Drosophila melanogaster: one gene and its partners. The protein of the gene in region 3 interacts with the protein of the main gene of each other region in a pairwise test. Each region holds a gene or a part of one and is shown on either strand. Other genes may lie near its edges. The genes, in order: Jupiter, rtet and Fs(2)Ket.

Region 1 (5,013 bases), on a different chromosome or scaffold from region 3:
TTACAATAATAAGTCATGGCTTTGCCGAAGAAAGGAGAACACACACACACACACACGGCAGACAAAACGCTGCATCGAAATGCAGAGGAAAAGTATATTAATCATTTTCCCCCCAGCCGCCGGCGGGAAAGTCCAAGGCGGTATGTTACACAATCGCAATCAATGACAATGATTAACACATTTTCCACACTTTATCCCCAGCAGCCAGCCACCCATCGATGGACCATAAAATCCAGCAAATTGTTTATAATGCACATGGCACACATAAGGAAAATTGTTTCTATTTGGTTTCTGCCGCGACCAAAACTAATCTCCGATCCCAACGGCCGCGAAGAGAGGCGGGGTTCAATGTCCGCCACGGACCAGCGGACGACGGACAACGGACAAACGGACAGTTGAACGGACGGACGGACAGACGGTCGGAACAGCGGACAGGGAAGCGGACTTGGACACGAATTCAAACTCGGAACAGGTACGAGAGCGTAAGAGTGGTATACGGAATAGACATAAGCGAAAAACATTTCGATAACGATTTTGTTGTTGTTTCCCCACTCGAAAGGCGAAAAATGGGTGGTGCTGGGCACATGGGGCTTGGTCAAAGAATTGCATGCAAAAACAAATGCCGAAACTAACTGAAAAAGAAAGGCGGGCCATAGTTGAGAGAAGTCGATGGGGGAAATACCCTCGTCGTACAAGCGGCGATAAACGGTAATAATATAATGATTTATTTTTAGCGGTAATAGGACGTGATTGTTCAATAATAAACATTTTATTATATTTCGTATCATTTGGATAATGGGCGAATCTAATCAGTTTTTATGTTTAACAAATCTGTTTGATTGCCGAAAAGTGAGTTGAAGCTAAAATTGAATTTTCATAATAACTGCATAACCAATGTTTTTAGTACACCATAGGCGGCTATTATGGATTTTAGTATGCCATAAAAAATCATAAGCTTCATAACTGTAAAAATGCCATTCTACACTTTGAACTTTCAAAGTCTATGTACTAATAAAACAAGTTTTAATAAACTAAAAATAGTTTAATAAAGCCACCATTTTTTTTTATGCAAAGACTGACAGAGCGGTTTGGCAGTTACTCCTTGAAATTAAATGAAACACAGATGAAGCCGAGAAATCACTTTTGCTTAGATGTGCAAACATTATTATTATTAGTAGTAGTGTCACGTCAAATAGTATATTTCGTTAACACCTCGTAATTAAAATTGCGCATTGTTTTGATGGCACGAAAAGAGATTGTCATACGCCTCGGAGCAAGAAAGGGTATATTCCCAAAGAACGCCGGTCGGTCCCTTTGACTTTGGTGCGGTAGCATCGAGTGGACGACTGCAGTGGTGGTGTCGCGGGTGGTGCTTTGTGCGGTGGGTTGGCGTGGGGCAGGTGGCCGTTGGGTTGGCAAAGGAAAATCAATGAGACGACATCCAAAGACATGCCAACACCGGCGGCTTGGCTTGGCTTGGCTTTGCTGGGTGGTGGTGGTTCACTTGCTAGGTGGTTTCGGTTTTGTGGGAAGTAGGCGCTTGCAAAAGTGGTGCTCCCCAGATTACACATACGCCCCGTGCACACGCGACTGTATGGGTAGTATTAGTTAGTCAGTCAGTCAGGCGGCGGCGAGGTGAATGAACGCTAAATTAATCTACACACATAACCAAATGAATATGTAAGTGTGCGGTGTTTGTGCGGCCCGACAGCTCAGACAATGGGATAAAGATGGAAATGGAGATGTTGATGCAGATCACGATGAGGCTGCTGCCTTCCGAAATGTTTGCCAATCAAAGTTCACTCGAGCGATGGCAAACAATAACAGAATGTGCAGTAGGCACGTAACAGTTGTTAAACTTCAGGGAAAATGAGTCGGTCGGCGAATAACCTCAATATAAGTCAAACACATTGAGTAACATCGTGTAAGTTACGTTATTATGATACACAGATTTTTAAACAAATACAGAATATATTGATTGTCCTAGCTGTAATGATTTACATGAGAACATTATTTGTTAATAAAGAACCTACTAATCATTGTTCGTCATTGTCAAAACAATATTCCTTCAATTCTTTGCAGCTTGTCATAATTAGTGAGACTCATTTTGAATAAATATTGATAATATATCTATTTACTGAAATTACCAGCCATATGATTCTCTTTGTGCGTCATGGTGATTTATACCCTTTTAAAACCTCAGAAGATGGTTTTTGACAAAAGCATTATTAACAAAGGCCACTTTTTGTACTCGTATTAAACGACTTTTCTTGCATGGGGACATGCATTGACAAAAACTGATGAACTCCCTTTTCCGTGTAAAAATGTGTAATAAATCCGGACAACGAATTTATCGATTCATTTTTTGACATGCAAATTCTTTGTTCTGAAGTCTTTAAAAATGTCACTTTAACTGTATCCTTTAGGAATTTCTTACCTCTTCTTTGCTTTGCCAACATTGTAAAGCTCAACGTGTTTGAAAGCAGCGTAGGCGGCCATTTCTGTTTCTATTTGTTTGGCGAAAGGATAATCTCTCTGTTGAATGGATGCAATTGCTTTACTTTTCGCACTGGAAAAATCTAAGCGCACGCGGATGTGGGGGAAAACGGAGATTAGGCACGTGGGGGAAAATGTTGCAGGACGAATGATGATGACTCATAGATGGGGATGCTGCATGTGCGTAAAATCAATAAACCCTACTCAACTGCGAGAGAATGCAAGGAGCATCCCGGGAGAGAACGGACAAGAGATATGCGGAGAGGGGGGTGCAGTAAGAGCGGACAGAAAACGGACGAAATTCCTTTAGTTGGATAAGCCAGGATATCTTGCAACGTTTTCCCAACCAACTACCGAAAAAATTCCCAAAAAACACTTCACTCACAAAGAAAGCTAAAAAACTTTTGATTTGCACTCGCGTGGGTTTTTTTCGATTCGAAGGATATTTTGTTGGGATAGCAATATATATATATATATATATATATGCAATATGTTTGAGTGTGCGACCGCTGGTGATGTGCACGTTTCGATAAATGTCTGGCGACTAAAGTGCAGTGGGAAAAGTGAAAAGCATTTTATACCACGGCAGCGCGAGAAGTTTTATCGATCCAAAAACAACGACCGAAACCCAACTCACTCAGAGCGCAAAAGCTGCACGGGAAGAGAGCGGGAGCGCAAGAGAGTGAGTGCCCGCCATGTGGCGCATCAAAACAAAAACAAACTACAGCTGATGCTGATTAGAGTTGGAGCCCGCTCTCTTCCATGCTCTCTCCCTCTCTCTATCTCTCACTTGTGGGGCAGAACCCAACTCGTGGTGAGTTCTTCACTCCGCTTGTAGGTCACAAAAAAGTTTAAAATACGCCAGGAACTGAAGCGAAAATAAAACATATACTTAAGCCGTGTTTAAGACACTTGCGGGATTAACATTCTGCATTTATTTATCTCATTTTATGTGCCCCACCGGCGAGAAGTGTGCGCAGATATGCTTCAGTTATGCCGTGCCATTGCAAAAAGCGCTAGAAAAGCGAAAAAATAGTAATAGTTCAGGTCTAGTGCACTTCAGGGTTCCTATGCAATTGTTTCTTTTCTCAGCTTCTTCTGCTTGATCTTCTTCGTTTTTTAAAACTAGTTTCTCTTAAAAAAATCAAGTGCATTCAAAGTTTTAAACCCAAATGTACCCATAGCAAAAATCAAATTTATACTTTATTGAATGATTGCAAAAAATACACAATTCACTAAAATTCAACTACCAGGCTTATAAACCCAAACCTTATTATAATCTAAATCCAAGCTCTACAAACAAATCGCAGTTGAATGCCGAAAGAAAGGCTCATATCTATTTCAGTTTGTACTAAAACATTATGAACTTAGCCCCCCCCATTTCCAACACGCTTCTTATCTTTGATTACAGGGTGTGGACAGCACAGCTGCAAGGCGGTAGCAGCCCACAAACATGTTTCCTGGCCAAGATGAAGCTGCTGCCAGGCCAGACATCGGGTCTCGTGTCTACGAGGAGCTGAGGAACATTGCTTTGCCGGACATAAATCACTTTCATCATCGCCAAGCGTTCAGTTCGGTTGGGGCCAACAGCAGCAGCAGTAGCAGTAGTTGCAAACTCTAATTTCAAGTGTCTTGCCACTAATGAGGCCGCCCCTTTTGCCCCTTTTCCTGTATTTGCCACACTTGCTGCTGCTTTGCTGCTGCTGCAGCAAGAATTTAAATGCAATATGTATTTGCATACTGCGTTTTCTTGGAAAACATTTGGCACAGATTTGCACACAGAACAGGAAGCGCAAGCTAGCGACTAAGAGGATCGGGCCATGGAGCCACAAAGTCGGCGGGAAAATGAGGAGAGGGTAGGGGTGTGTTGGAAGCAGCTGGGCCAAAACAGTGGTTATTTTTAGCTTGCGAAGACACTTTTGTTTAGCCGAGCCAAAAGTTGACTGGCCGTGTCGTCGCCGCAGCCGCTGCTTCTTGCCGTTTTGCTATTTTACCATCGGTGGGTCGTGGGACTAGCTACCCACTGAGCGGTGCACGGGTTGCCAGAGGTGGTGCGGGCATTCGGCGGAGTGGTGCACATGCGGCAACCTGACACCAACATGCCACTTGCCCCCTTTTGCCGGTCGCTGTGCGCAAGTAAAAGCCTAGGCGTTATGTACTTGCCCCAGAGTTGACAGTTCAGCTAGTTTCCCATCAACTCACAGTTTATTCAAATTGTTACTGCGAGAAATATTGAAAAATATGTCAATTATGGTGTAATTTCAATTATAGTAACGTCAATTATGGTAATCTTGATATAAGAATAATCTTGAGATAATTTCTAAAATATAATATGTATCCTCTTCCTTTCCCCTTAAAAAAAATTAACAGCACCAACTTGTCCAGGAATGGAATAATAAAAGCGGGCGGGGGGAATGACTTGGAATGGGGACTGTGGGGACATGCGGTTAAAAATAGGAGAGCTCCGTCTCCTTCACCGACTTCTCTTGCAGCTCTTGCTTAATAGTTAAGTGTCGC
Region 2 (4,844 bases), on a different chromosome or scaffold from region 3:
CAGAATGGCTTATAGAATTTCTTAACGTTCACCTCATTATAATGATCCCGCATGTTGTGCAATAGTTCCCAGAGGATGTTCACGGTGTAACCGTAGCACTTAAAGGTGTTGATGGACAGCATAATGAGGTTCTTAATGCGCAGAAGGATATTAGGATCGGTGCAGGACGAAGAACTCATGCTGATTTCGTTGACAAACTTGGTTAACGAGCTGGACCACAGATCCTCCAAATAACTGCTGGTCACGACATCGCCCGCCGTGTTTTTAACGTGATCCTCAACCACGAAGAAGCCAACGATGGCACAGATGTACGTTTTGTAGGCCTCCAAATTGTCGTGCATGTTGGGCGGCGGTTGAAGCACCAGTTTGGCCTGATCCCTGCGCTGCTGACGATAGTCCTTCTCGAAGTACTCCCGCTGACCCAGCACCATGTAGATGTGTAGGCAGCGGTAGATGGGGGAGAAGTCAATGAGATCCTGGGCACTAACGTTGGCACCATCATCATCCCCGCCAGCACCTGCTCCGCCGGCTTCGCCGCCATTCATCTGCTGCATGTGCTCGGCAATGATGGCGTTGATATCACGCTTTTGGAGCTGTTTTGTGTGTGTGATGGCCAGCTCGCCGATGCGGGGTGAAAACTTCCGGATGTTCTCGAGGAACTCTCGAAAGTCCGAGGCGGAAGAGCGACGGATGTTTTCCTTGATTATGGGAATCTGTATCTGCATCTGGGTGGCGAATCGGTAGTTGTGTGTCTTCAAGCGCGTTAGGTGCTCCGTCTCCAGAGTCTCCAGAGTTCTCAGCGCCTGGTAGTACTGCTTGTTCTTTGCCTGCTGTGTGAACTTCATGTAGCACTCCAATGCGGGCAGACAGGATTTGAGTGCCTCGATGGCGCTGGCCAGATTGGATTCGATCTGACGGGCCCGCACTAGATCATTGCCCTGCTGAATCAGCGAGGCGCTGATCTGGCGAAGGGACGTGTCCAAGGAATGCACTTCGTTGTGCAGCTGTTGGGCCTGCGTGCGCACCTGGAGCAGCTCCTGAATTGAATCGATGAAGCCCTGGTAGTACAGATTGCAGATCCGCTCGATCTCTTTGTCATGGCTCCGTATCCGCTGCTCCAGTTGGTCGCCAATCTGCTTAGTGTTGTTGCCTGTCCGGGAAAAAAGGAAAATGGGCGTAAACAAAGTGTGCCAATTGCTTCTATTCGCAGTCACCTTCAAGGATCGAACGGAATGTTGGTCCCCAGTAGTCGTCCACCGCCTCAATGTCTTGCACGGTCACTTTGGACATCTTATAACGCTCTTTTTTCTCTTCTAAACAACTTTTTACCAAACTTTAATGAGCAATTATTTCGCCGACTTATCGGTATGGTATATCGAATATTTACTAAGTGTTATCGAGGTTTGACTTTCGATACTAGGCGATAACAATTTTAAGCGGTATGTTTTAAATTATAATACAAAGTTGTGTCAGAGAATATCTGACTGCATTATCTTTTAAAAAGATATTATCACTAGGATTGTAATAAAATAAATAAATCAAATAGGCGAAAACTACCGAATCATAAACTTAATTTATATATGTATATCAAAATCCGGTTCTTAACTATTTAAGCAGGAAACAATGATTTGTAAAATATTTATAAATTAATTAAATATTTACAACTTAAACCTATGCTATTAGTAATGTTCACCAACATAATATTCGTTGGTAATTTTGATAAGAAAAGTAATTAATTACAGATGTTTGAATAACTCATTTTGGCGCCCTTATTTCAAATATCCGCAGCAAGCAACAGGTTGGAATGCCGTCTGCTCGTTATAGGCCGCCTTGGAACAGCTGTTGCTGTTCAGCTTTCACTTTGGCTTCGCTTTGGCTGGCCGCTTCTCGAGAGGGCCAAGAGTTGTCGGTGGAGTTGTGGTTCCGTTGATACAGTTATGTTGCAGTAACACCCGTACACGCACGCAATCACGGCACAAGCTAAACACCCGAAATCAGCAAAGATGGCCGACCTACGGAGTCGCCACAATGGAACCGCTGCCATGGAGAAGCAAAGCCACAGCCAAACCGGAAGCCACCATCACAACAACAATAAAGCGCTGGATAAGGAAGCATCGGAGAATGGAAAGCCGGAGAAGAGTGATCCCATGATATACATAATCTTCGTATCGCTGCTCTTCGACTTACTGGCCTTCACCATCATTCTGCCGCTGCTGCCCTCGCTGTTGGAGCACTATCGCCAGAACGACAGCTCCGGCTTGTATGCCGTGCTCACGGATCGGGTGCGCTGGTTCCAGCAGCTCCTGGGCGCCCCGGATCGCTACATATCGGTGCTATTCGGAGGCTTTCTCGGCTCCATGTTCAGCTTCCTGCAGTTCGTGGCCAGTCCGATTGTCGGAGGACTCTCGGACTACTACGGACGGAAACCAGTCCTGCTGGCTTGTGCGGTAGGTAATCCCAGTGCTCAATGCTTTAATGTGCACTAAACACTAAACTAGTCTTGTTAGTTTTCTTTTTGGCTTGGTCAACATTTCATGCTATTACGAGTTCAATCCAAAAGCGTGGAATTCGTCAAATTCAAACTCCTTAGCTAAGCCACAAATAAGTAAACCTTCCTTAAGCTACGTCTTCTTTCATCTATAGAGTGGTATTGCGTTATCCTATCTGATCTGGGCCTGCTCCAGCAACTTTGCCCTGTTCGTTTTGGCCCGCTTCGTGGGCGGAATTAGCAAGGGCAACATATCCCTGTGCATGTCCGTCATTACGGATGTGTCCAGCGTTAAGACCCGTGGACGCGGTATGGCCCTTGTGGGTGTGGCCTTCTCGCTGGGCTTTATTGTGGGGCCCATGATTGGAGCCCTGTTCGCCATATTCTCCGATAAAAGTGGAAGTACTTGGTTTGTGTTGCCCTCTCTGCTGGCGTTTGGCCTGGCAGTTGGAGATCTTGTGGTCCTGGCCTGCTGTCTGCGGGAAACGTTGCCCAAGGTGCGTACGGTTGGCTAAATTAAATATATTCCCAACACCATTAATTGTTTGACCTTTTCGCAGGAGAAACGTGTTAAGGAGATATCATCTGCACTGTCTTATGGCCTGCAGTTGCTCAATTTTTCGGCCATATTTAGGTAATTCAATGTTTTAATTAGCATGTCTCGAAAACCTGTCGTGTGATCAAATCGAAATCGTCATACGGTGAGAACTGCAAGCCACCCGGACTTGCCTGACTGGTTTGATAGACACTATTATCATGCCGGGTTCTCGGACACGTTTGTTTGATTGCCTTATCAGTTAGTAAATTCTAGATTGCTTTTGATTAATTGTAGTTACAGGGAATTGAGTCCAGTTAGCTAGAAGATTATTACCAATGATTATGTCTGGATTTTACAATCATATTTCAAAAGAATTCTCCCACTGACAGATTTGCTGCCATCAAAAATGTGCCTAAGAAAGACATTGCGGCACTGCGATCCATTGGCCTGGTATACTTCTTGTATCTCTTTCTGTATTCCGGCTTGGAGTTCACCGTCACATTTCTGATGTACCACAAATTCGGTTACACTTCGATGGATCAGGCGAAGATGTTTTTGACAACGGGTATGGAGCAAGTTGATAATCTACAATATTCCCTATCAAATTTGTGTCTTTTTCTAGGTGTAATCATGACTTTGCTGCAGGGATCGGTGGTCCGACGGCTGCCCGAGGCGAAGATCAAAGGCTATGCCATCTTCAGTTTGTACCTGATTGTACCCGCCTTCGTAGTAGTCGGCCTAGCCGAGGGCAGTCGGATGCTGTACGCCGGCATGACCCTGTTCGCAATCTCCACAGCCTTCGCTGTCACCTGTCTGACCACCCTCGTATCCAAATACGGAAACGATGACCAGAAGGGTTCAGTACTGGGCATATTCCGCTCACTGGGAGCTTTGGCTCGAGCTCTGGGCCCCGTGGTGGGATGCATTGGTGAGCTCCTCAGCTGTCTTAGGATTATACCTTTTCTAAACTCTTTAATCCTTAATAGCCTTCTGGTGCGTTGGCTCCAGGATCACCTATATAGCCGGCGGACTTCTGCTCATTTATCCAGCCATGGCCTTGCAACGCGCTCGCATTTAAGTGCAATAGGAATAGAGTTTTTAAACTCACTAGAGATCAACGGAAGTATTAGCTGCACATTATACTTAATTTATCGTTTTTTACAAGTATTTTATATTAAAATAAACACATTTTTACTCTGATTTGTAAGCAGGGGGTTTTTACTTGGGATCGAAATGTTTTCTATTTAATTAATTTTTTTAATAAGATAATATTAGAAACAGTTACTGCTACTGGGAGAACGATTCTGTTTAGGTTGGAACGTTTTAAGTATTCAAGACATTTTGAGTTGGAAATAAGTTAAATGGGCTAGGGATAATCCCTAGAAAATGTGTTCAGCTTTTTTAAAATACGATAGGCTTGTCGGGATGAAACGAGAGCAGTTCATGATAATTCGTCGTACCGTCTGGTAACTCTAAAACATCCATCTCGTTAATTTAGTGATGCAAGTCGATGTGAAAACATCGATAATGATATAAGTATGTTGGTGTTTTAAAATAAAACAAATAAGTTTTTTAAATAGGAAACAAACATTAGATTTATTTTCTAGACCTAATGTGTTTTAATTATGAAAAAATTTAATTCTAATTCTAAAGCTTTTGAGTATAAAACAATGTTCATATAAACAAAAATAGAAGTGACATTGTACTATCGCCTTACATCGCCATTAAGAAAATCGATAAGTATCGCCGAAATAATGTCGATGTACCGATATTTTTCAACATCTCTAGTCTCGTTGGAAATATAACGTGACGTTATTG
Region 3 (5,019 bases):
CCTGCTCGTGGACCTTTCTCAAAACGCTTTGCAGAGTGGCGCACAGAAGCGATTGTAGATCGTTGAACTGATGACGATCGCTGTGATTGTTAATCTGCGTTTCCATCTGCATCACCTGGTTCAAGCGCTCCAAAATCACCAGCGTGGTGCGCTGGACCACCAAGTAGCAATCCAAGGGAGAGTTCTTGATCATATCCATAAGTGCCTGATAAGCAGCACATCGCAAATTGGCTTGAGCTCCGTCCGATCGATCAGTGGTCTCCAGCAACTGGGTAATGATGTACTCAAAGTACGGGGACAGGGCGTACGTCTCCGGAGTCTCTCCGTCGTTGGTGACCGCTGCCTCCCAAGCTGCATCGGAAAGTCCAATGAAGGCCCAACACACGTTGGCTGCTACACGCGGCTCTGACTTTAGGCTCTTCACGAAGCACTCCAAAAGCGTTTGAAGATATGTCTCGTTGATAGCCGCCTCGGGAATTATCTGTCAGGAAAAAGCAGTAGAAGGTTAGTATGACAATATGAATCACCTTAAAAATCACCACTACGCACATCGCAAATACGTCCGAAGGTCCAGGCGATGGTATCGCGCACGATAACGCTGGAGTCGTACATCAGTCGAATGAGCGTGGGCATGGCTTGCTCCACGAGCGGCTTTAAGGTATTGGTCTCCAATCCATTCAGCACGGAGCCGAAAGTCATTACCGCTGCGTCGCGGAATCGCCAATTAGGTGACTCGATGTTCTCCTTGATGAAGGGAAGCACATGTGGCACGATCTCGTCCTCGCAACATGTGGCCAGCACCATGAGGCAAACGGAGGCGGCCTTCGCCGGGCTCCAGGTGTCCTCGTCATCGCACTCGTCCTGCTTGGTTAATTTCTCGACGAGCACAGGCGTCAGGAACTGCAGAGCACCTCGAGCATAGTGCTTGGACACTCTCTGCGGAGCGCGGCCCTGATCAGTGGCCTCCTGGCTTTCGATGGCCAGATCTATCTCCTCATCGCAGACGTTCGACCAGAACTCTATGCCCTGCAGCGCTACAGCATCGTTATCAGACTTCATGGCCGCCAAAGTAATAGGGAAAAGAGCCTGTGCCATGTAGGGCTCCATGTACTGGTAATAAAGGGTCATAATCTTCACCAGGCACTGCAGAGCGGCAACGCAGATTTGCGAGTCCTGGCACTGAGTGGCCTCGCACACCACCTCCATGATGAAGTTGCGCTCCATGTCTTTCTCAAAGTTCGATTTGGTGAACTCCAACGAGTTGTGAAGGGCCGTGGTGGCCGCCAAGCGTACATGATTGCTCGGCTCTACCTTTCTCATGCCGTGAATAATAGCAGTCAGCACATCGTTCGACTGGTTCTCCATGACGCCGAAACGAATGTCCTGGCAAATGTAGCCAATGGCCTCCAGCGCCGACTCGCGATGCATCTCGCTGGATCCTTCGCTGACCACCTTGTTCACCAGTGTCTGGATGAGCATGGGCCAGCGGTTTATCGGCAGCTCAATCACGGCCACATAGGCCACGCACTGGGCGGCGCAGGAGGGTCGGGTGTTCTCGGTACCCAAAGCAGCCAGGATCTGAAAGTAAGTCGCAGTTATTCAGTGCCAATTGTACAAGTCATATGTTTCAACATCAGCGTATGTAACTTACGTTATTCTTGATCAACTCGCGGATCTCGCTGGGAAACTGATGCCAGCGATCCTGGTACTGTTGGCTGACCTTCTCGTCCTTGCTGGTCAGGTGGTTCTTCAGCTGGAGACCGGCTGCCATTCGCGCCACCGCACTGTTGGCCGTGTTCACCAGTATCTCTGACAGCGCCTTGAGAAACTCGGGCAGGTTGCTGGCCGCCGCCTGCTCCAGAAAGTTCTTCGCCGATAGCAGCTCATTTTTGTCTGAAAATGCGTCATTTGGTTGGTTAGACATTTTTAATTTCCAATTATGTCAACGAAAGATTTTATTTGTGGGCCTACACACGCCCACCATTTTGGGTCGGCTTAAAGCTTTGGTATCAGGCCATTGAATTTTACAACAATTGACTTTTGGGAATGTGAAGGCAAGATAGGAACTTTTAGGCAAGGCGTATATAGTGAGAATATTGTTTAATAAGAATACAATAGATGGTGAAAGAAGTGTGTGCATATGAAGAGCTAAGCAGTAAGGTCTAGTAATGAATTGTAGCGGTGGAGCATAAAATCTTCAGGCAAGGGGCAAGTTTGCAGGCATTCCTTATCAGCAACCGGAAGAACTGGCCGCCAAGCATACGGTGGTGACTCCGAAGCGACGCCTCATCGATTCCTAGAGTTAGTGAGGTTATGTCGCAGGCGGTTCGTACATCCTTAATTGTAGGAGCGCAAGCATTGCGAATACATACAGACGCGCCGCCAAGTTTCCCTTGGAGTATGTACGTGGATGCACATGTGTGCGGAGGCCCCTAGCAACCAAACATATGCGAGCGCCTATTGCAACCCTGCGCAACATATAACGCGCGTCCCTCCCGCCAATCGAAGAAAAATCCATATTTTTCGGATCTATACACACACGTTTGTAGCAGTGGGGAAACTCACCTGGCGACACCGTCTTTTCCAAAATGGCAATCAATTGCATGGCGATATCGGAAGTCATGTCTTCGCTCTTTTCCTCTCTATATGATTTCTACTTCACTTTCCGTTTCTTTCTGCAGCTCGTGCGTCTGTGTGGGTGATGGAATTTTTGCGTAATTACTAGACAACACTAGTCTGTCGGCTGCAAATGGTGGAGACAAAAGAGTTAAAGTTATTGGGCTGCTCCGCTGAAGCTGGCGATTTTATTTCGACAGGTTGCAACACCTTGATTGTCAAAAGAATTGATTTTTTCGCACACACGCACACAACAAGCGCGTTCAGTAGAACTCTTCATTCTACTCACATTGTTGTTTGGTTATTTTTCGGGAACGGTAAAAAAGCGCGGGATTCCTAACGGCGATTTTCTTAGTTATTATTATAAGCCTATTTAATGGTGGCAGAACCTTTATCTGCTCTTCGGGAAGTGCAGGCAATATATTTCTTGTGTCTCCGATTTGAAATAGAGCTGAAACGAATGTCGATTTTTATTTGATAGCACTGAGTTTCGATGAAAAAGGCGACACCTATTCGATTGCTTTATTCGAACTATCGATAATTTTTAAATCTAATAACGTATTAATTAAATATTCTTAAATGCGTAGGAAATGTGCAACCATTTGACAAAATATATTATTAGTCAGGAACGATAAGACCAAAATACTTACTACTTGTATTAAAACGCGTTTGCCTCCCCAAAAATCAATCGTTAAATTTGAATGATTGTGCTTATCGAAAATTTTCATATTCAAAGATAAGCACGGAAGCAAAACCTCGAACGAACTAAATAATCGAATACTTTGACTTAAGAGTCGTAGGTAAAAAACTAACAAATGAACAAAATTTGATTACTATATTAAGAAACAGTGGATAAAAATAGTAATATCTTAGAAGTATCACACGTATACGTGTGTATATTGGTTGCATTCGCTTACTGAACAGGGGAATTAATTAATTTAAATATAAAAGTTTATTAAGTCTACCAAATTTCGTTTTGCACGTAATAATAATAAGAGCTAAAGGTTTTCGCGGTAATATTTAGCTTTGCAAATGCTGGTAGTTTTTTTGTCAGCCAGTTGGCAGCCCTCTCAGCTGTACTAGGTGGCAACGCTGCTACAGTGCTGACGTTCGGCAAAAAAGAGGAAACGTAGTAAAAACACTCGAAAAACTCCGTATATTCCGATAAATATCCAGATAGTACGGTTTGTGCGTGGCCCGCCGATCCGGAAAGTGTGGCAGAGAATCGCGGACACGGCCACGTTGTGATTACAACCCGTACAAGTAAAGGAAGAAGGTCTGCTACTCCTGCCGTTCGTTGGTTACCCCAATTCGAGATGATCCTGCTATCCGGACTTCTGCCGCTCCTGGGCGTCGTTCTCTTGCACCTTGCGACCCCGACACAGGCCTTCTATCTGCCCGGACTGGCACCGGTCAATTTCTGCAAGAAAACCGACGTCTCATCCACATGCAAGGTAGGTGTATACGTATGTGCAGAAGTGCAGATGTACATATGTACGTAGATAGTGGGTGTGTTTGCCCCACGCCCGCCACAATTAGCAAAGGCACTGGAACTAGTTATGTACATTGGTTCTATATTCCTCTAATGGTGGTCACAGGCGGAAGCACTGATAAGCGCAGTAACTAGTTATATGTGGGGTCCATATGTGGCCCTCTATCTCAACTTCTGCTGACGTTGCCTACGCCAGCTCTCTTTCCTAGCGACAGCTAGATGGGAGTTCTAATGTTGGTTCAGCTGGCTCGCGAATGCGATTTCGGGGGCTCCCGACCTTAAGAATCTTAACATAGTGGCGGCTAACCAATAATTGAACCAGGGAACGCGGTTAGCTTGTCATGCTTCCTTGCATTATGTTTGGGTTATTTTCTTTTTAGTAATAATAGTATAACACAATAACAATATAAATTCAGGACAAAGTATAATTTTTAGTTTGATATCCCAAATAGATGGGGTTAGCCCTTTTAAAAGATGACCTAACTATTGGATGATAAAGCGTGAGCTATTGGTTTTGTTTGCTTCATCTTATCTTTAAACAAATCTAAACAACTTTTTAATATACCCGTAGGTCAAGAAATCCTAATCGGTTTATACGCCCTTAAATTAGACGTTGCCCAATGATAAGAATTAATTAAGGTGTTTCACATTCAATTGTTTCTAACAATCTAAGAGAGCTTTTTGATAAGATAAATTTCTAAGAACCCAAAGTAAAAGCAAATTACGGGGTCAAATTATCGAACGCATTTGCAAACTTTTGGAATTTTTACCAAACTTTAATAATTATTTCCACGATAAGATTAAAATACACTAGTATTATCAACAGTTGTCAATCCAATTGATTGATCTAATTCCTGATTATCTTCTTCAGTCGGAAATCTTGTTGTACGTCAACCGCTTAAACACTGAGG

Evidence for each region.
Region 1: the proteins of Fs(2)Ket (region 3) and Jupiter interact in a two-hybrid assay, tested with the Drosophila melanogaster proteins (one large-scale study listed by BioGRID).
Region 2: the proteins of Fs(2)Ket (region 3) and rtet interact in a two-hybrid assay, tested with the Drosophila melanogaster proteins (one large-scale study listed by BioGRID).

What each region holds. Positions count from the first base shown.
Region 1 is NT_033777.3:11,601,705-11,606,717, forward strand, and holds the start of Jupiter (jupiter), read right to left. Parts: upstream 3,051-5,013; 5' UTR 2,882-3,050; intron 2,580-2,881; 5' UTR 2,500-2,579; coding exon 2,438-2,499; intron 1-2,437. UniProt on the Drosophila melanogaster protein: Binds to all microtubule populations.
Region 2 is NT_033777.3:21,106,604-21,111,447, forward strand, and holds rtet (tetracycline resistance), read left to right. Parts: upstream 1-1,842; 5' UTR 1,843-2,003; coding exon 2,004-2,447; intron 2,448-2,643; coding exon 2,644-2,985; intron 2,986-3,048; coding exon 3,049-3,122; intron 3,123-3,415; coding exon 3,416-3,591; intron 3,592-3,648; coding exon 3,649-3,954; intron 3,955-4,012; coding exon 4,013-4,104; 3' UTR 4,105-4,231; downstream 4,232-4,844. Other genes in the region: Sec15 (secretory 15), read right to left, coding at 33-1,150, 1,215-1,290.
Region 3 is NT_033779.5:20,732,977-20,737,995, reverse strand, and holds the start of Fs(2)Ket (female sterile (2) ketel), read right to left. Parts: upstream 3,086-5,019; 5' UTR 2,906-3,085; exon of another isoform or gene 2,827-2,905; intron 2,744-2,826; 5' UTR 2,624-2,743; coding exon 2,566-2,623; intron 1,894-2,565; coding exon 1,652-1,893; intron 1,579-1,651; coding exon 550-1,578; intron 482-549; coding exon 1-481. Other genes in the region: TM9SF2 (transmembrane 9 superfamily protein member 2), read left to right, coding at 3,933-4,070, 4,980-5,019.